Linked DNA regions of Caenorhabditis elegans. The protein of the gene in region 1 purifies or fractionates together with the protein of each later gene. This does not show direct contact. Each region holds a gene or a part of one and is shown on either strand. Other genes may lie near its edges.

Region 1 (11,070 bases):
AAAAGTGGTTGTGTCTCGAAGCAGTCTTCTCATTTTCTCTCTTTCACTCTTTCTCTCTCTGTTCGATTGCAGCTGTCTCTTTGAAACGAGAGTTCATTGAGCCATAAGAGTTTCAGACGATGAGACAGCTGAAATGAGAGTATACGAAGAAGAAGAGACGCAGAGACATAACCGCATGACTTGGGGACACTCATGCCCACTGGGGCCCCGCCTTTTCCTTCTTCAGCTGTCAATTTTGTTGACGGAACTTTATTTTTTCAAATCATATCGAACAAAATTTTTTATCAAAGAGTCCTAACTTTTTTTTTGGGATTTCTAAAACTACGATCCAAACCCTGGGATACAGTAACCTTTTTCGTATTACAGGAACGCAAAACTCGGAGAATGCATATTGTGCGACATATTTGACGCGCAAAATATCTCGTAACGAAAACTACAGTAATTATTTAACTGACTACTGTAGCGCTTCTGTCGATTTACGGGCTCAATTTTCAAAATCTTTTTTTTTTTCAAAAAGTGACAGCAATATTCCATTTTCTTTCGTTTCTTCGTGTTATTTTCTCATTTTTTGCTCAATTTTATTCATTTAAAAAATCGAACGCGTAAATCGACACAAGCGATACAGTAATCATTTAAAGAATTACTGTAGTTTTCGCTACGAGATATTTTGCGCGACGGGCTACTGTATTGTTCTCCTAATTTTTTAAAAATTGTCGTCCCAATTTCACTGGTCAAAATTCCAGAAAGAAAAATGAAAGGAGTTTCTGAGGCAAAAGATTGTGATTCGTATAAATTATAAATTGCTTTTTCAGAATTATTTTCTTCAAATACAGCATCGCTTTGTTTGGAACATCAAATTCGAATTTATTTCCACTCTCAATGTACTTAAATTTACATAATAAATTAAATATCTGTTAAGCAATAACTGAAAATTAAATAATCGACATTTTCAGATAATTAAATCAAACTTTATCAAACTTTATTCGTGAACACCGAACAGTAATGAAAAATACAAATTTTAGCAAAATATCAAAGATTCGGGGGACACCATTCTTTTTGATGTGAAATCTGAACAGAAAAAAGGCAAATTTCGATAAAGAATATCGAGTTATTGAGAGGGAAAAGTGAGAAATTTAAGTCAGTTGGCTGCATTATCCTAGGCTAATCGGTTGAGTATATTAGAATTAAACTTGTAAAAAAAAAAGATAAACCGAAAACAAAACGACACTACTCATTGGGATGGTAAAAGATGATGATGTTGGGATGATGGGGGAATCTCGCCGGCTAGATTATCCTAAAATTGTGCGGAATCTCCAGAGATCACACAATTCACAACTCGGGTTTTTTTGTTAGTTTTTGGGTGGGGAAAAGAGGAAAAATAAAAACAAGAAAAGTAAAAAAACAAACAGGAAAGAAATCGCCTAGGCAAAAAAGAGGAAAATCAACCGAATGGCCATAAATAAGAGTTTTTTAACCCGCGAAATAATCAAAAGAGACAGACGAAACGTGTTTTTTTGGAGGGGAAATACTCTAACTGTATGGAAATTGAAAAATTAATTTCGTTTTCCACATAAGATCTTAAAATACAGAAATAGGGGGATTATAAATGATTGATTAGAAAGAATATTTAATAAATGAAATGCTACCTCGATGTCACTAATTATTCCTGGGGCGAAATTATGATAAAATGAATGGTAAGATGTTGTTGCAAATGATGAAAAATTTCAAGCTTCAGAAGCCTGTGGGATTGGCTTTTTATTCGGCATTGCTTGATACCTCGCATAAACTCGACCGGCTAACGCGTCTTTGGCTTCTTTTGATGGATGTGATCCACAGCACAGGAAGGTCTCGTCTTCTCGATAACAAACGTTGTCAAGACGAACACACCACACGTGGAACCATTGATTACAGATGGAGCAGGAAACCTGGAAATCATATTTGTAAAATAAAAATATTTTGAGTGTGTACCCATTGTAAGTTTTTTCTCTTTTCGTATTTGGCAGATATACAATGTCCTTTTGCTACACCACATCTTTCCTTGCTTGGCTCCGTTTTTGGTGGTTCTTCTTCTTCGGTAGGTGTCGCCTTCTTCTGTAATTTAAAGTTTTAGAAATTTAATTCAAGTTTATTCAAAAATCACGAACCCTTCCTCGTTTCTTCTTCGGTGCTTCTTCTGGCTCTACGTCCTTGTCTTTTGTCTTTCTTTCCTTGATCGCTGATTGACTGGCTGTTCTTTTCATGTTTTTTCTACGGCCTCCTCGTGGAGTGACCTTCTCTTCTTCTTGAACATCATCAGTCTCATCTTCATCTTCAACAACTTTTTCTTTCTTTCCAACTTTCTTTGCAGGTGTTGATTTTCCAATTCGGGTTGATCTTCTTGCTTTATCTCTTCGTTTTGTAGACTTATCGCCCGATCTTCCATCATCTTCGGAATCAGAATCAGCAGATGATTCATCAAGTTGTTTCATTTTTCGGGAAGATGTATCTTTTTGTTTCCTCTTCGAAGATTCTGCAGGTGTGGATGATGGAGTTGCCGAAAGCGCCTTGATTTGTTTAACAAGACGAGCTGATTCGTCTGATGAATCATCAACAGCTCGTTTCTGATCTGTATTTTCTTTGCTAGAAGTCTCTTCTTCCTCTGCTACCGAAGACGTTGTCAGAGATGCAGATGTGGAGGATGTTGTGTTTGAAACAGATGGAAGGACAGAAGCCACAGATTGTGCTGCAGGTGATCCTATTTTTTCCAAAGAAACAATGCCAGAAACAGTTGATTCTGAAGATACCGAATCCTTAACGAGAGCCACAGGGTCTGGCGATCGCGATACCGGATTGGGTGTTGTAGAAGGCGTCGACACATCTTGCGCAGATTTTGAAGAAGTTACTCTAGGCAACGGTGAATTCATTGGAGTGGGAAGTGCAGAAACAACTGCTGATGGTGTTGATTGGGCGTCAATTCTGGGTGTAGAACTCATCCGGACATTCTTGTCAATCTTATTTTGAGTTTGCCGTCCATGATCTTCTGGGGATGGCGTTGGAGTCTCGGTTTCAGTTCCTCCCTTCTCGTCCTTATCAGGCTCATCTGTTCCAACAACGTCCAAGATTTCACTTTCTTCCGAATCAGTTCTTCTTCGATAGTTGTTTTCAGTTGATCCACTGCTAGCAGAATGCCTCTCATCATCAACTTCCATAGGCGCAGTTTCAGCTGATCCTTTTGATGTATGCTTCGGCGTTCCTGCTGTAGTTATCACCGCAACTTGAGATGTTATCGGAACCATTTCCATGACTCTTGAAACAGTGCTCGCATAATTCCCTGTATACACGTGAGCTACTTTGTTATTATGCTCCTTTGCTTTTACAAGACGGTGCAAAACTACCATCATCTCCGGACTGAGCGGCTTATTCTCAATTGGAGCTACTTCCGAATTTCGAACAGTTTTCAGTTCGTCTGCAATTTTCCTCGACTTTTCACTTGAAATATTGATGGATTTGAGATGTTGTATATAACTATCTTCACTTTCGTTCGCAAGACTTGCTGTTGGACAGAGAACACCACTTGTGCTGATTACTGTGAAGGCGCTGGATGCAGAGATTGTGAAATCATTTGATTGAACATCCTGTGCTTTTTCACTGAGTGACACGAGCAATTCTCTAATCTCAATTGTCTGTGGTTCTTCTTCTTCCATCATCACAGCTAACTCTTCTTTTCGTCTACTCAGCTCGTCCACCTTGAAGCTTCCTTTGTTTTTCTCGCAAAACGTTCCAATAATTTCCAATTTCTCGTTCTTTGTCACCAGATTCTCATAAGCCACATTAATATCCAATAGATGAGAAAGAAGCTCAATAACTCCAGAATCGTTAACAAATGTTCCATTTTTCACGGCCATTCTCTGAGCTTGTTCTGCCAGCTTTTTCCGATAAAGTGGAGAATGCCTTGATGTCCGGTAAATGTAGTTATGCAGCGGAGAATCAAACTCTTTCCGGAATGGTGTTTTCTTTGGGATGGAGCAGAAGTATTGCGATGTGCTCTGAAAATTCATAGTTCTATATAATCATCATTCATGATAATAAATATACCGGCATCTGAGTATCTTCTGGTGTCGCTGATGAAGCAGACGATGCTCTGTTGTTTTCCATTTCCGGACCACCTGAAAAACTGATTTTTCATCTTCAAAACTTTCAATTTCTAGGCTTCTTACCGTTTGTCGAATCCGCCTCCTGTTGAAGAACCTTATTCGTTGTAGAAGGTTCTCGTGGACCAATATCTTTCGCACAAGCTGTTCCGGCGAATACCTTCACTCTCGAGTCTCTGATCTGTTCAACAAGTTGATAAGCAGGCTCTCCAGCAGTGGACATTTCCACACAAAATGCAAAATCCGCGTCTGGATGGTCGTATTTTTGATCAGCAACGTGTTGAGATCCGTTTTTATGACCAAATTTGATAGTATCGCCACTTTTTAGAATCTCTCGTTTGTCTTTCTGCAATTATGAGGGTTTTAGGAGACTACTGTAAAAATTGTAAAATACCGATAAACGTCGATCGTTGATATACGTTCCGTTTTCTGATATATCCTCAACAAGATACTCCTCAACACCGTCTTGATTCGTATGATGAACGCGCGCGTGGCACCGAGATATGAATTGTGGTCTGAAACATGATTTATTTTTAATTTATATAGAAAATTTTAAATTTCGAATTTGCATAAATGTCTACTTATAAGAAACGTTTAGTTATTTCAGTGATACATGTCGAAACAGATTAAAGTTGTATAGTCAGAGCTATATAACTGGGAGTATATAGTTGCAGGTGGGAAAAACAGAAGAAAAGCATGTCGTATAGTTAGATTTTCTAATTAACATATTATTATTTCTATCATTGAAATAGTCTAGTCAGATATATGAGAATTATTAGAAATATAAGTAATCACAATGAGAAACATTACTATTATTATTATGTGACAAAGATAATTGGAACGTTCAAAATGGAGATATTTTTATAAAATAATACATAAATTAAACTGAGAAAGTGGTCGTGCAACTCATTATATCGGAAATTTTGGTCAAAATGGTCAAAGAAAGTTATTTTTCTATTGAAAAATTTATATGTGATAATAAAATAAATTGGCGAAAAACTTGGACTTCAAGCTGAAAAGTGAATTTCCACCTGTTCCAAGAAAACTCGTTTAGAAAATTGAGAAATATTTTAACATTTTCATGTTTTTTTTTTCAAAAATTCAAAAGTTTCATTCAAAAATAGTTTGCTTATCCTTGAGAAAAAGGATCAGTGAAACGAGATTTTAAATTTCAAGGGCAAAAGGATTAGATATTGTCTGATAACCTGATAATACTACTGTAGAACAATTTTTGTGATCTTTTTTTGCGAATTAATATAAATTTGTAGAAAATAACAATGGTTTGAAGAGAGAAAAGGGATATTTCGGCCAATTTTTCGTATTTTTCTGTCGAATTTCCTTATATCCTATCCTAACAAACAGTGTCGAGACTACCAATTCCGAATAAGAAAAACAACATAAAAATATATAAGTTTTGGTCGACCAAGTGCCACCGCAATACGAGACAGAAATCATGGCTGTGTTGGTTGCTATGGGATAGACGACGGGAGGGGCGACGTGAAATTGGATTCAACATTATGAATCACAAAAGTTGATTAAGGGGTTGAGATTTTTGGATTTTACGTTATAAGAATTTTTATGAATAATATTTTGTTTTTCTTTAATAAGAAAACTCACTCCAATTCGACATGTTCCGTTCCATCAAGAAAAATCACATCGTTGGTTGTAGCTCGACCAAACGATTTGCCACCTTGCAATCTGAAAAATTCAAACATTTTTATTAACAACATGAATTTTTTAAAAACTTACGAAATGATGGTTCGTTTCCTTTCTTCTTCAGTATGCTGAGCAGTTTGTGCTCGACTAGAATTGCACATAATTCGACGCAGATGAAGCCGCACCGTTGTCATTTTTCAGAATTTTGTGTGATTAGGGTAAGTATGGACAATCTCAGCGCATTCCCTTTTACTGAAAAAAAAACTATTTTAATAATGAGAAGGTGGAGAAATTTGAAAAAAAAAAAGAAATACGATCGACAATCAATAAAAGGAATTTCAAATTCAATCACGAGAGAAAAGGCAATCAGTGGTGTGAAAAGTACAATTATCGTTCAATCAAGTTTTAATAGAAAGAAAATGTGATCTTTCGGCCGCTATTCTGGGTCTTCAGAAATTTTGAAAAAAAAAATTGAAATCGTGAAAATTATAGTTTTTTTGATTAGCTAAAAAATTAAGTAAAAAGTTCCAGAAATATTTTTAAATTAAGAAAAACATTGTCTATAGTTTTTTTCCGTTTTCAAAGCCAAATTACTATCAGCTGCAGAAATGAATAGAAGAATAAGTAAGTGAAAAAAGAGAGACGGACAGGCACGATATTATCATTCATATTATCGAATAGATAATAAAAACGATCGATCGATCAAAAAATAAATCGGTCGACTGTCAATTGAAAAAGTGACGGAAAACGGTAGAAAAAGATTGACAACAATTGTTTTTTGTAGTTGATAATGGAAAAATGAAGGTGTCAAAGTATTTGATTTTAAATTGAAGATATGTTCATTTTATTTAAGGTGGAGTAGTGGGGATTTTGTAGAAATATAATTATAATAATCGAAAGTGATCATAATAAATAAAACAATTTTAGATTTTTTCTCAAAAAATTTTGGGTTTTTTGGTCGGCTTCCAAAACTATTTTACCTGATTTTTTACTGTTAATTTTTAAAAAGTCTCAAAAAATTGTAACGTTTTTCTACGATAGTAAAATATCTCAGAACTATATGAGAATTTTTAAACAATTTCCAATTTCAAAAAATAGCTACAAGGTTTTATTCTCAAGATTTCAATTCCCTCGTTGATGAATGACTGGACCCTTTTTGTGTACTTTAGTTTTTGAAAAAAGTTTATGTCAATATTGGTGTCGGACGGGAGACGACATATGGAGAGTTAGGGTAAGTGAAATGAAAAAAATGGGTTGCGAAAAGTTTTTTTTCCTAGAGGACAGCCCAAAAAATCGAGAAAAAAGCGGTGTGAGCTGAGGAAAACCAGAAAAAATTGACACAAAAATTATTATTTTCGAGAGTCGAAAATTGAAATGAATTAATTTAAATAATAGAGGAAAATTAAACTTTGAAAACATTTTTCATGATGAAAAATACACTTTTTTTTTGGAAATTTTTGAAAAATAAATAATAGTTAATGTTCCATTTCAACTTTTGTACTCAAAATCTCCACAACAAGTCTACAAAAATACGAAAAAAAACCCAAAATAACTAGTTGCCTGGAAACAAGAAAACGTGAGCCAAAAATAGATAAAAATCGTAAAATAAATTGTAGTCTAGAAAAAAAGTAGATAATACTAGTCTAGCAGAGCATGTTTCTCCAATTTTCTTCAATTTTCACATAAAACTACAGTATCTGCCTTTTTTGGACAAAGTGGGCTTTGAAAATTGGTGAAAAGTGCTGCTCAGCGACCCCATAAAATACATTTATGACAGGCAAATGCCAAGAAATTTTGGTAGTCCGTGGGGCTAATTGATAGAGTTACTTTTCATAAAATTATTGGATAATTTCCACACACACGCAGAAAATTGCTAAGAGCAATGGAGCATCAGGAAAAAAGCGGAAAATTGTGTGTGTGGGGGAGAAATAATGGATGTGTCGTTGTGTGTGTGTGTATTTGCGAGAGAAAAGAAAAAAGAAAACGAACTCTTAGAGTGAGAGAGAAAAGATGATTGCGAAATGTTTTCCCCGTTTTTTCACATTCTTTTCCTTCGTTCAGAAACCTTTTCTACAGTATCCCCATTGGATTGAAAATTGTAAATTGTGCGTAGGTTGTTCAGAAAATGAGGAATTTACAGAACAATATTGATTATTTCATATTTTTCGTCAATAGTTTTCCGTAAAAAGTTGAAAAAAAAACTATAAAATACGGAATCTGTTCAGCAGCTGGAAAAAACTGGTGCCAGGTGTCACTAATTGATTTTTTTCTTTTTTGTTTTCATAAAGTATGATTCATAACTTTTTGAAGGAATAATTGAACAAAACAAAGACCACTGAAATTATTTAATTTGATTGAAAAAAAAGTCTAGTTGAGTCACGATTCCGAGAATTTCATTTAACTTCCAAAAGTGACCAAAATTAAACACCAAGAAATTTCACATTAGTAATTCCAAAAATATGCATAATAAATTTGAAAATATACTACTCGTGACATTTTCTTTTTCTAAAATTTCATTAGCAACGAATAATGAAAAATTGGAAATTTTTCTGAATTTTATATAATAGTTGACTACTTATAAAAAATTAAAAGACCAAGGGCACTGAAAATTAGAAAATAACGAACATTTCTTTTCGCAAAAAGTATTATATGATATTAAAAAATCATTAATAAAAATTCAAAAACAAAACAAATTGGATTATTTTTGATGTTTTTTTTTCTAATTCTGAACTAAAATATTTAAATTTACATAAAATAAATTGAATTTTGTATTGTATTTCAGTTATTTTAAAAATCATTATTCTAAAATCCAAAATGTTGAACTTCTGAACGAAAATTGCGCGGAATTTATAAAAGTAAGTAGTTAAATGTTAAAAGATTCTCATAAAATAACAAAATTAGCGGAAAAAATCTACTTTTCAAATCTACGAAAAAAAACGTGAGATAAATGTCTATTCAACAAATTCTGCCGAAGATGGTTGAGGCACACACACACACAACCACAGACACTCTCCATCTCTCTAACGTCGCTTTTTCGTTTTTCGTCGTGCTGCGCCCCCTATCCCCACACATTTCTCAATCAATAGACGAGAGAAACCAGAGAGATGCATCAGACACCGTATACTTGATGAAAGAGCATGTAAAAAGTGGAGACTCGAGACACGGGCGGTCTCTTATGTGCGAGTGTGTAAGTGAAGGATAGCGAGGAAATAGCGTTTGCAAGAGAGAGGTGGCCGCAACGAGTCTCTATTGCCTACGAAACGAACTGGCCTGCCCTTGTGTCTTTCCTTCCCTTCAACATTGAGTCTATAGTACATTTTTGTTATATAGATATATACATACATGCTTATGTATAACAGTGCTTTGTTCGTTTAACTAAAAGAGTTTTTGTGCTTAAATATCTTACAATTTTTGAGTAATTCTTATTTTAAATTATTCGAAAAAAGCATACACTTACTAAAAAGTTAAATTATTTTAGTAATTTCTAATTTTTAAGCGCTCTCAAGCTTCTTACTATTAGATGTAGTCAGAAATATAAATTATATTTCTCTCAACTTTTAAGTCAGAAAAGAGCCGTCTCCATTAGAAAATCAACCGACATACTGTAGCTTTATGTGCATGGGAGAAATTTGTAGAAAAGATCGTAAATAGAATGGATTTGTACCCTTTTCTATTTTTTTAAATTGTTCTTGGAGGAATTTTTTGTATCTCATTTCTTGGACTATAATTTTCAAATTGAAAATTTCTAGTAGAGACGAATTTTGAGATAATTTACTGATTGATTTCTAAAACCCGTTGACTAAATTCTATCCAATTAGAGAATAGTCTAGTTGACGTCATTTTTAAATTAAGATACCGTAACTTTCGAAGTCTAAACCACATCCCGTTATTACTGCGAACCAAAACTAAAATAAACAATTCTTGATAAACTAAAAACAAAATATTGATGATAATGATCTAACCAACGGAACGGAATGCCCTTGTCTCTTCTCTTCTGTAACCCTGACATATTTAGTAATAGGAAACCAGTTCTCCGCGTCGTGCCTTCATTTTTCGAGACGATTACTGCCAAAATTAGTTGGGGTGTTAATTGAACTAGTTCGAATAGATTCGAATTTTTCGTTTGCTGATTTGAATATTGAAAAATGAATGAAATCCGGAAATTTGTTTGATCTCTAATTTGTGACTTATTCCGGAACTTTTTCAGATAAAAACATTTTAAGACAAACAATTTTTCGAATTTTTATTTCTTTTCATGTGTAATCTTTGACACATGTTTTAGAGGAATTGTACACATATTGATGTGTTATTCCAACTAAACAGCTGCCCCTAACCCTCTTCAAGACACCATCATCATCATTTCTCTTATCAAAAGGGTCTCGTGATTCTCTTGTCATTGACACAACCCCTTCGAACCAGTCAGCGATCAATTGCTGTGTTTTTGCACGTGCGTCTTCGAATTTTTATTTTACATTAACTAGAGGGTTCAAGGTTTTGACCTGATTTTTTTGTTTTTGGACTTTTTGAAACTGTACACGGAATGCACGTTAAAGAAATCGATATCAAAATTTTATATGATATTTTATTCTAACTAACCCTTTCGAAAGTTGACTAATATTAGGAATTTTCAAATAATTGTCATCCGTAACCACCCACATCGTTCAAATCTTGCGGCGCCGAACTTTCTCCTTGCCGAATCTGAGCCCATTGTTACACTACGACGGCAGACGAAACAGAAGATTTCTAATTCAAACAAGGTCGAATCGACGTTTAAACCCCCTTCTCTGCAGCCAATGACGAAGCAACATCAATTGTCGAGGACTAGTCTTGATAAGAAGAACGCGCTCTCTCTGTAGAGTTTTCTAATTCGATTTGATTTTAATAGGCTCTGTGACACACACACACACTCCCACAATTCATATATATCAATTACAGTACAACTACCCAATTACCGCCGTTTTTGTTTTGTGGGCGGAAATTCGAATCGTATCGAGTTTGTTATTGATAAAAAGTATCTACGAGGACTGAAAAAAACATTCAAATTAATTTTGATTACAGATTTATACAGCTTTTTCAGCTATAAAAGTGCATTTCCTACGTTTAGCTACTCCGGAACAGAACTGGATGATTCACGGGAAGACATGTCTTTTCCCAGTTTCTTTTCATCACTTTTGATAGCACTTGACATAGAAAAAAAAAGAAGTGGTGTATTGGATATGTTTACATTCGAGAGGAGAGGTTGCCACTTGCGGGCTGACGATATTCGCCGACGTCTCTTTCCGCC
Region 2 (11,070 bases), on another chromosome or scaffold:
ATTTGCAGTGGACACATCAAAAATAAACATCAGTGAGCAACAAATTGTTGAGATTCATTCAAGATGTTTACAGTGAGCACCAATTTGTCGTTTTTCTAATTTTTTAGTAGTGAAAATTTCAGAAAATGTGTCACTTGTGGATGGTAGGAAGCAATTTTGCAGCTGTTGCACATATGGAATTTGTGAGCGATCTTCTCTTTTTACTATATTTCAACACGTATTTCGATTTGATCATTTTGTTTTCTCTCTGATTTTCTTACTGAATTAATTGTGTTTTACTGCAAAGCTTGTGAAGACAAGAAACATTTGTTTTAGTTTTGACGGAAAATATAAGAAATGGAGAAAGTAAGATTTGCCACAATGCGATATGGTTTCAAATAAAAACATTTTCCAATTACGTTAGGTTAGAGATCTAAAATACTTCCTTCATATTTAGCATCTGGTGATCGAAGACTGGGAACCAGCAATTTTGGCGAACGGAATGAGCCTTAACTGATGTAAGTATAAACTTATTTAAATTGTGTTATTATTACTCACCATTGGCTTGTTGTCGCAAATCCAGTGTGCTGTAGTCTGAAACTGTTAAGTGGTTTTTAAATTGATTTTATGCATTTTCTTTCATCTTTTTTTCCCTCACCGTTTTCATCGTCACTCGAAAGGATTGTTTCATCAGTTTGATAATGCTCTATTGGATTTGAAGCTGATTCGTGGTAAGTGTCCCTGAAATTATTATTTTAAATTGCTTATATTTATGAATACTTTACCTAAGTATGTCGTCAAGAGTGTCGTCGTCGTCCATGATGTAAGGCGCATCCCCTGGAGACACAATAATTTGTTAGATGTTTTCGTAAACGATTATTAACACATACCTATTGAGTACCTTTCCTCGTCAGAATCGAGTAGCTCCTGACGAAATTTTGCGTCATCCCACACAGGGTTATCGAAAAATATCATTGTAGTATCGGCGTCTTTTGTGCTTTGTCGTTTTGCACGTTTCTTACTTCCCAGCGTCAGTGATTGAAATTCTTCTGGCAGAGATGGCAGAGGAACTTCGATGAAGTTTTGGGAGTCCTGAAACATTGAAAAATTTATTCTATTTCAGTATACAAGGTTCATCTTCTACTACATTGTTGGTTATGCATTTATCACTTTTTACCAACTTAGCTTTTGAAACAATTCAGAAATCATATCCAAAAGCTTAATTGAGGTCTGAAGTTCTCCACAGACTCTGAACAAAGTGTTTCCACTTCTGATTAAGGTTAAATATGAGCGTAATAACGTTGGAAAAGTAGAAATAAAATATTAAAATAGAATTGCAGTGAAGTTTCTGATTGATTTGGAAATAAAACTTATTCTCGCTGAAAAATTTTTGCAGGACTTCACATAGAGGCCTAGAGGTTGCCGGCCGCCGAACTTACCGGTATTTGGTACTTTTTAACAAAAAAAAGATTCAATTTCAAATCAATCAAACACTTTACAACGTTTCTATTTTAATTTTTGTTTCAAAAAGTAGGATTACTATACCGAGATAAGCCGTTTTGTGCAGTTGCCGATCTGGTTGCCGCACAACCCTGAGCCTTGGTTATGAACAACACCTAATTATGTTTTAGCCACATCATCACCCTTAACATTACTCATTTTGCAAATACTTCATTGGTTTCTTATCACATAGTACCTTCTTCACCCCACTTGTCGTGTGCCCTTTTTGAGACTAACTCTTTTCGTTTAACATTACACACTTAGCAAATGGCAAATGGTATTTGGACGCAGTGTAATGTGTGAAGCAGTTCTTAACAGTTAAGTTGTACAGGCATGTTTTGTTAGACTTTTCGATATCTTACAAACTACACAAACAAACTCTTCAGCTCGAGAAGTGAACAACAGTGGGAAACAAAAGCTACTTGTTTTTTCATTGAAGTAAAATTAGTGCAATTTTTGGAATTATGGAATTAAATATAAATTTTGTGAAATCCCCAAACCTTAATTTTGGCATTTTGATTGAATTTGAATCGTCTATCTTCATTCAAATTGACATTGCCATGACAATCTTTTTTCATTAAAATGAAAGAGGCTTGTATTTTATGTAATGGCATTGCACTCTCTGTTCTTTCGCGCCCAAAGCAATCACAACGGTATGCATTCACTTTTCCCTTCGATTTCATATTTTTGCTCGTCATCTTTCTCTCTCTTTCTTTTTTTTCGCCCAATTCACTTTTCCAAATCTCGTCTTTCTGATTTACATTGATATTCCCAAGGAGAAAAACGGAGAAAGACAACTATCCCTCTTCTTCACGTTGGCTATCCAATCAGAAATTATAGACGTTTCGGTCTATGGCGCTGGCGTTGTCAACTTCATAGCTCCTCGCAACTTCTAATTTAACACGGGCGCGCTGTCCCGTTTCCCCTCATCGCGTACTCCTCTGGTCAAAAAAGGGATGGCTGCATCGCATTGATTTCCGTGTGTCGCTCTTTCTGTTGTTCTCCTCAACATGCACACAGATTGAAAAAGGGGAAAGATGGGAAACTATGAAACGGAAACCACATTATAAGAAATAACATGGGGAATATATATTCGTTGCATTAATATGTTTCAATGTCGAAAAGAAGGGGCGATTTTTGAGAACAGCAGTGAGACTCCTTTATTTCTCCAGCCCTACCTTGAAACGTTCTCATTCTAAACACGTATTAAATTGGTACAGAGGTGTACGAACATTTGAAGATTGAAGTATCATACCGTAGAAACTCTACGCAAGAATGTGTGCATCTATATCATCAAAGGTTTCTTCTCTGCCTCTATTGAAAACGATAAGGAATTGGTTTCATTGTCTTCTGCTCATGCTGCTCATGCTAGATCGAGCCACTGTTTATCAAAGCTTCCATCGTTATCACAATATCACAAGTTTCCAGTATTATCGAACAACCCTCTTTGGCATTTCTTCTTCTTTATTTTGGTTTTCCAACGTCATACAATCACTCCTACCGACCACCGGTAGGATGTTGCCCGCCTCCTTCCTTCTTTCACATACACCTCACAACAGGCTCCTTCCTTCATATTCTCGTCTTGGCTCCGAGCGCGACCGCCGTCGCAGCCATTGCCCTGGTCGCCGGTCTTCTACCCTTCCCCTCTTCTGACTGTGGCGCTGTTGGAGCCCAATTGACAGCAGAATGCTCTACTGATAGTTACGAGTGAGAGTAAGATTAGCTGCTGTGTTGCTGTAGATCTTCTACACGTATTTAAATTCCGGCCTCGTGTTCGTAAGTCGTAAAAATTGTGTGTATATATTATTTTTTGCCCTCCGAGTTGCTAACAGGAAATTTTCTATAACCGTGCAAATATAACCTCTTGCATAATTTTATTGCCTTTTGATAATAAGTTTCTAATGTATACAGTAGCTCACTCATCCAATGAAGGACAAAAAACAACTTTTTTGAATTTTGTGATTTGTGCAACAAAAAAGGGAGAACCTGACGTTTTCTGTCCATAGGTTACTTTTGAGTTTTTTCTCACGTTTTATCTTATCGATCTTTTACATACCTTGCACAAATTCTATCATGAATGACTATTAGTTAAGTACGAAAGCCGCGATACTTTTTCATTATATTGCGTAAACCTCTTTGCTTATTCTGTTCTCTACACACTCTCTTTTATAAATCCTTGGAAAGAGCACTTGCTTGAAATCCTCTTATCAAATTCAAAAAATACTAACAACAAAAATGTGCAAAGTGGCAAAAAATATTGTTTCAGCGTTTTGTAGAGACAGAAAGTCTGAGAACCAGCGACCATAAACTAACGTAACGTAACTGATTAATGAGAAAAATCAGAAAGATCAAACAAAGTAGCTTCTATCCAGGCACAAAATACTTTACTGCAAACCAATAACGAATTTTTATCTTCTGGGAAACTGGAAGTTTTTCGAAGTGTTGCACATTGATTGTAGGCGCGAAGATAGGGATCTTTACCGGTTTCTACGACTTGCGCATCAAAACTTTGCTAGACAAAATCGTAGAATTATTATAATTTGTTTTGATGGTTAATTTTTTGATTACGGGGAAAACCTAGCCAGAGGAACGTCTAACAAAATTTTGCGGAAAATTGAAATATTGTGTGTAATTGTCAGACCCTGAATTAGTTAACCTCCCAGTTTTCAAATAAGATACCGTTTAAAAAAAACATCGGTGTATATATTTATTAATCTTTTTAAAAAGTGACGTCACACGAATCTTATTGTGCGACGTCAGTACAGAAATCCGAGTCATAATTTTTTGAAACTTCTGGAAATCATTTTGAGAAATTCTTTGAATACGCGTGTTTGAAAAATAAAAAAATTTTCTATGTATTTTTTTTATATGTATATATAATTTTACTTTATTTTTCTAATTTCATCAAAATTATCGTTCCAATTCAGTTTGAAAAAATTATTATTAAAAAACCTAGAAGCTTCAGTTTAATTGCCAAGTTCAAGTTGACCTGATGCAGGATTTTTCTGATATGTCTCACACAGAAAATATTTTATTTGATGACCATTTCTAATTCAAGATTCTCAATAATTTGAAATATGTAAAAATATTCACCTTTCTTGCTGCCATCTCCATTATTTCCTCGAAAACTCCTTTTGTTTTCGATTTTCCTTAAAGAATAATAATTTTTCGTTGTGTTTTTTCTCACTCACCATTTGTCATTGGTATTTGATGATCCACTGATTCTGACATTGTTTTCATTCTTCTCAATTCTCAATTTTGTTATTAAATTCAGAAACTCGCAAATTATTTTGATCTTACTTGTTGTGTTTATGAACCTTTCGTGAAACTTTCCACATTCTCGATCGCACGGCCAAATCTCGCAGTATAACTGAATTCCCTGATGAAGCATTTCGCGATACATGCTGAAAAAAAGAGAGTGAAGTCATAAATGATGCTCGCACCGAAAGCAAGAGTGACCAAAAACGCAAAAAAAAAAGAGGGTGTGATAAATAAAAGTGTGAAGGCATCGTCACGGGTAACTAAGGGCAACAGTGTAACCTTTTCTAGATACGTGTGATTTTTTTATGTTTACTTATAACGGTAACCAACGTACCACTTAATTGTTCTGCTGTCATTTGAAATTTGACATTAATTTAATAATTATAGTTTCGAAAATGGAGGACCTCGAAACTTCAACTTCAGACAACGAAGAAAATCATCGTTTGACTCTTTATGACAGTACGTTATTAATTCCTACAAAAAAGAAAAAGTAAACTACTTTGTAAAACAATTGAACCCTTTTGCTGAAATGTTTTTTTTCTCTTAAAAAATATAAGTAAATATCATTTTTCGATGGTTTCCAAAAAGTTTTAGAATAGTATTTAATGAATCATTTTAAACATTTATTAGTGTCCCGAGATTTAGCTAGGTTTGGCAAATTTTCTTTGTCCAACATGATTTAAAAATGTAATAAATTTGAACCAAATCTCATTCAAATCTAATTATTATATTTCGAACATTTGTTTTCTAAAGATTTGATTCTAAAATTCTATTCGCACAGTACATTAATTATTTAACGAATCCTCTCGGCTGAGCTCAGTAGTATTTTTTGGAAACTAACCTAGTTCTTCAACATCGTATACAGTGATTGAAAATTATTCAAAAAAAAATCATGTTTACTTGAAAAAAAAGGAAAAAAAGAGAAAAATACAAAAGATGAAAAAGATGGATGAACAAGTGGATATATTTTAAATTGTCTTTGAAAAAAAAGTACTCTGAAACTTTGAACTTTGAGTTTGAAAACGTTTCAATTTTTAATTTTATAGAGTGTATACAAAGCAAGTGGTATCTGGATAAAGCAAAAACGCTTAAGTCTCCTGAACAAATAGAAAAGCTGGGCAGATTATTAAACTTTTTGGACCAAGATGAGTATCATGACCGAATCGATTATTTGTCGGATCCAGTGCAGGTGAATTTTTTGTACACAGTATAGAACATGAGAAAAGTACTGCTTAACATAAATTTTTAATTTTTTGGATAATAAAAAGTAGGGTTGTAGGCAGCGTTGCGGCTTCATTAAAAACATATAATGCTAGACTTCATTTTGAAAAATAATGCACATGTTAGTTTTCTCTCAACCAACGACTGCTGAGTATTTGTTGCCTGGAGCCTAAGAATTGGTATAGAAATATTTCGAAAGGAGAGTAGGAGATGAAGTGAAAGATAATGATAGAAAGAAGAGGGTGATGTAATTATAGCTGAAGAGAAACCTTTCAAAGGATGGATTAGCAACAAAGATTCTCGAAATTGAAGATTTAGTTCAAAAGAAGACTATACATAATGCATAACAGAGAAAAACGGATAGAACGTGACTAGCAAAAGTGATTCTTAAAGATTGCTGAATAATTTCTTTGAAATTCAAACTTTAAGCATCAAAAATTATTAATCATGCAAAATTCAAAAATGTTATAATTCCGGACATGAATGAGTTAAATATTTAACAATGACAACGAGTAAACAACGAGTTTTTGCATTGATGAGAAATTCAGCACGTTAAGTTTTTGCGGGCGTTTTGAAGCTATATTATTATCGCACTAACATAGCCAAAAAAAAAAAAAGTAAAACATTGTTAAGTTACAGCAATTAACAAAATCTTCAATTCTCAAGCGCCCTTGTTGTGAAAAAATGTTTACCAAATTCTTTGAGAAATACCCAGAAATAATCATCTCCTTCGTAAACTTTTGAAACTTTTCTAAAAATAAAAATGAAGAAATATAGGTTTTTCATTAGAAGAACAAATGTATTTATTTTATTAAAATAAAATAGTTTTTTGTTTTTAGCGACCAACAATCATTTTTTTTTCAAAAAAGTTCATTTTAAGTAAGATATTAATTTTAAAAGTTATGATAATTAAACAAATCTCCAAAAAAAAGGGAGACTTATATATAAAAAATACAGTTCGTCTGTCCATAGTTTGTAGTCTATGTAGTCTTTGTAGTCTGCGGAGTTTTGGCTTATGAAGGGTTATTGGTGAATGGTTAGTGGGGAGATATTAATTTTAAAATTATGAAAACTAAATAAATCTCAGTATAAAAAAGGGGTCATTTATATGCCTGAAAGGTCAATTTTTTTGATTGAACTGGAAGCTTTTGGCACCTAGAAAAAATTTGCATTTAAATTCTGAAAAACGCTAAAAATTTCAAACAAGTCCCCGAAGAAACATTTCCAAAAAAGTTCATTTCAAGTAAGATATTGATTTTTAGAATCATGAATACTTAGTAAATCTCCCAAAAAAAAGGGGTCATTTATATGCCTGAAAGGTCAATTTTTTTGATTGAACTGGAAGCTTTTGGCACCTAGAAAAAATTTGCATTTAAATTCTGAAAAACGCTAAAAATTTCAAACAAGTCCCCGAAGAAACATTTCCAAAAAAGTTCATTTCAAGTCAGATATTGATTTTTAGAATCATGAAAACTTTGTAAATCTCCCAAAAAAAAAGAGGTCATTTATATGTCTGAAGGTCAGTTTTTATGATTGAACTGGAAGCTTTTGGCACTTAGAAAAATTTTGCATTTAAATTCTGAAAGTTATGATAATCAAACAAATCTCCAAAAAAAAGGGCCATTCTGTCTGAAGGTCAGTTTTTTTGATTGAACTGGAAGTTTATGGCACTAAAAAAGTTAGTTCTTCTATCATTACAAATCCAACTAGGCTCTTACTTTTTATACCAGATCTAGAATATTCGAAAGTAGAAGAATTTTCAGTTAAACAAAAATGAGCTCCCAGTCGACACCCCTGAATGCTTCTACAATCTTACAATGATTCCGGAATTTTGTACAATGACTTCTCGCCAATTCTTTTCTATGATACAATCTGCAGGTAAACAAAATGTTTCAAAACTCGGCTAAATCCATTTTGCAGACGATAGGAAATTCAAATCTGTAATTGCAAAACTTGGTGTATACTTTGACCATCCACAAGAAACATTTTGGGACTTAATCCCTCTTTTCACGTTGGGAGATGAGACGCATGTTTTAGCATCAACTTTATTTCGGTAATCATTGGGTTATTTTAAAAACGTGTATAGTTTCCAGATATGCAACGAAACTGTTTTCCCCTTCAATAAGTGGCGTTATTCGGATTAAAACGTTATTAAGGTTGTTGAATATGGGGCGCCCGGTAAGTATTTCTTTTAATGGAGTAAATGTAACACACTGTAAATAAAACCTAAAGTAAGTCTCAGAATACTGAATCACATTTAAACGCCAGTACAAAATTTTGATTTAGATCTAGCTTTTTACACACTTTCATAAATACATAAAAAATGTGAGAATTTCCCGAGCTGAGAACATTCAGCATTTTGGTCGAAACAACAAACTGGCACTATCGAGATACTCATGGACAAAATCACGCGAAGATTGTTATTACGGAGTCGATGCAGCTTTTAAGCCATTTATCATCAAAAAGCATATAGTTCCTGAACGTGATTATCCACTTTCCAAAGCTACAATTGAACCATTGCTTGTTGAAGAAGAGGACTACGCATCATTTGTGAGTAATAAAATACTGATGTTTCGATTGTCGTACATAACAAGGAAAAATCCTGTAATGACTAGGTTTATTATTTTTTTGAAGATTAAATTTCGGACAGAATGAAAAGCTTTAAAAAAAATTTAGACTATAGCTTAATTTCGGTCGTTTAGAGCCAATTGTAGTCAAAGCAAATAACCCACACACTCATGTTTTATGAATTTACAGGACTCTGAAAGGGCGATTGTACTGCTGTATCATTTTCCGCAAATTATATTGCCATGTATTGGAAAAAAGCATTTCAAAAAGTGGGATCAGTATTATTGGGAAGTGGAATCAATGTCAACAAACACGTTAAGTTGCATTTGCAAAAACAACATGGGAATTTTTATGCACATTCAAGAACACTTCATCTACAAATCGCCATCAGGTTTCCTCTGTTGGGGATGCTTCCCACATAAACATCTCCTCCTTGTAGCTTGCGCGAATTTTTTTCGGGATATGGTTAAAAGTGAGTAGTTGACTGACTTTAATGCCGAACAACACATATTTTCAGATCCAAAAATCCGAAAAGCCGCAGAAAAAAGAACTCTACCTAAGATCGAAGATCTTTACGAGACTTTGAGGAAAAAGCCAAAAACTCGTTGTCCCGCTAAAGAGGAACGCGACGTCATAATCACTCGTGGTAAAGCACAAAACGTTTCGAATTCAATAGAAGTTGTAGTAATCGATGACGATGATGATATTGGCAACATCCAGGAGGACAAAACTAACACAAAACGACAAAGTGCAGAAGATGAAGAAGAATGCGATCTCAATGTTTGGGCGTTTTCATGCAACTCAACTATTGAGCACAAGGAAGCTGAAGAGCTAATCAGTCATTTGGAGCTAGAATCTTCTCAGAATTCAATTCATAACGACAACAGGAAGAAAAACGAAGACTATGACATGGAAATTTCTGAAATCGAAACAATCACTCAACGCCAACTTGAAGGTTACGGAACATTTAACAGTCCAGAGATGAAGAATGAAAGGATTGTGAATTGTGAATTGAAAAGTCAACCTTCTTTAACCGATATGCATTCTGAACTGGCCGCAACTAAAGGAAGACAAAATAATGACTTGCCCATGAGCTCCATACCGTGCCAAGATGCAACACAGAAAGACATCGATTCATCGACTCAATCAATGTTACAAAGCACTGTGCAATCTCTCGAGAATAATTATGTCTCCAATGAAAACGAAAAGACGGAGCAATCAGACGGAGAATCAGAAACAAATGACAACAAACTGGAAAATGTTCTGACCACGGAAATTTCAGCTGATACAAACATAGATATTGAATCTCAAATAGACATGAAACATCCACAACAAAATCTTCCCGTTTTTGAAACTTCGAGTGAAGAAACAATTAAATATGGACAGATCAAAAGCCCGACTCCTGGTTCCGAAAACATCGGGAAAGTTATAGATGAAGGTGACCTGCATAAATCTCCATTATCCTTGAATGAAGTATTGTCTTGCGATGAATGCTGGTCTATTCCAACTCAGAGAACGATTTCGTGTGATGATGATGGGTATTCTGAATCTACAAGAAACAATAACAAAGCACCACAAGTATTCTCACCAGACAAACAAGACGCGAAAAAAAACTGTCAGGTGATTTCTGAGAATTTTGGGAAATCCGAAGAACAATCTGAAGGTGATGAAACTTCAAATAAAGGAAGCAAAGATGAAAATGGAAACATGTTGGATGATGTAGACCAAGAAAATACATCTGACAACGAAATATCGTTCCCAGATGATGAGGCTAATGGACGAAATGTTATTACTTCTACTGATAATTTGGCTTGTGATGATCTACTCTTGGCTACTAACACCGATTCAATACATCTGACCAAGGTTATAGAAACTGTTCCAGTCCCAGAACCAATTTTTGTGCTCAGTGTGAATGATAAAAAGGAAACAACTGGAAAAGTAGAGCCTGAACAAATAAACTACCCTGAAAGCATACAAAAAGATTCATCTGATGAAGTTGTTGGTGAATCAAGAATGTGCAGTCCCATAAAACCAAATGATGGTAACATTATTTATTTAAGAAACAATTTGACATTGATTCATTTTTCAGACGCTCACCCTCAAAAAGATGGTTCCTCACAAAAAGACGATAATCAATCCGAGATACCACCAGGTTTGTTTGTTCATAATCATAAATTATCATTGCAATAAGATACAAAATCAAAACCAAACATTTTTCTGAAAATGGTTCAGTTCTAAGCGGTTTTACAAGTGACTACAAAGGATCATCCATTTAGTTGTGCTCCTATTTCTGATAAGATTTGCTTGAGAAAATATTTATGTGAAGATGAGAACTGGCGAATGCAGAATTATTGAGATATTACATAAATAGTGTAGCTAAAATGGTTAAAGCACCTCCTGCAAATTAATTGAGCTGTTTTTAGACGAAAAACTGATTGACATGGCAGGCGAATGTATAGAAAAAACGAAGATTCTGATGAAGGAATTTATTGAAAACTGTGATGCTGATTTCGAGCTGCAAAAAGCAGAAGTGTATGGATT

Evidence for each region.
Region 2: the proteins of gldi-3 (region 1) and C05C9.3 fractionate together in Caenorhabditis elegans (co-fractionation; one large-scale study listed by BioGRID). This does not show direct contact.

What each region holds. Positions count from the first base shown.
Region 1 is NC_003280.10:9,274,061-9,285,130, forward strand, and holds gldi-3 (Germ layers disorganized gldi-3), read right to left. Parts: upstream 6,039-11,070; 5' UTR 5,981-6,038; coding exon 5,880-5,980; intron 5,829-5,879; coding exon 5,748-5,828; intron 4,646-5,747; coding exon 4,525-4,645; intron 4,477-4,524; coding exon 4,197-4,476; intron 4,146-4,196; coding exon 4,075-4,145; intron 4,026-4,074; coding exon 2,145-4,025; intron 2,092-2,144; coding exon 1,969-2,091; intron 1,926-1,968; coding exon 1,725-1,925; 3' UTR 964-1,724; downstream 1-963.
Region 2 is NC_003284.9:11,146,878-11,157,947, reverse strand, and holds the start of C05C9.3 (ULP_PROTEASE domain-containing protein), read left to right. Parts: upstream 1-5,127; 5' UTR 5,128-5,135; coding exon 5,136-5,199; intron 5,200-5,786; coding exon 5,787-5,929; intron 5,930-7,724; coding exon 7,725-7,839; intron 7,840-7,881; coding exon 7,882-8,014; intron 8,015-8,054; coding exon 8,055-8,139; intron 8,140-8,316; coding exon 8,317-8,511; intron 8,512-8,718; coding exon 8,719-9,001; intron 9,002-9,046; coding exon 9,047-10,570; intron 10,571-10,618; coding exon 10,619-10,681; intron 10,682-10,952; coding exon 10,953-11,070. Other genes in the region: C05C9.2 (uncharacterized protein), read right to left, coding at 405-487, 538-573, 638-720, 765-816, 870-1,071, 4,573-4,628, 4,671-4,730, 4,780-4,882.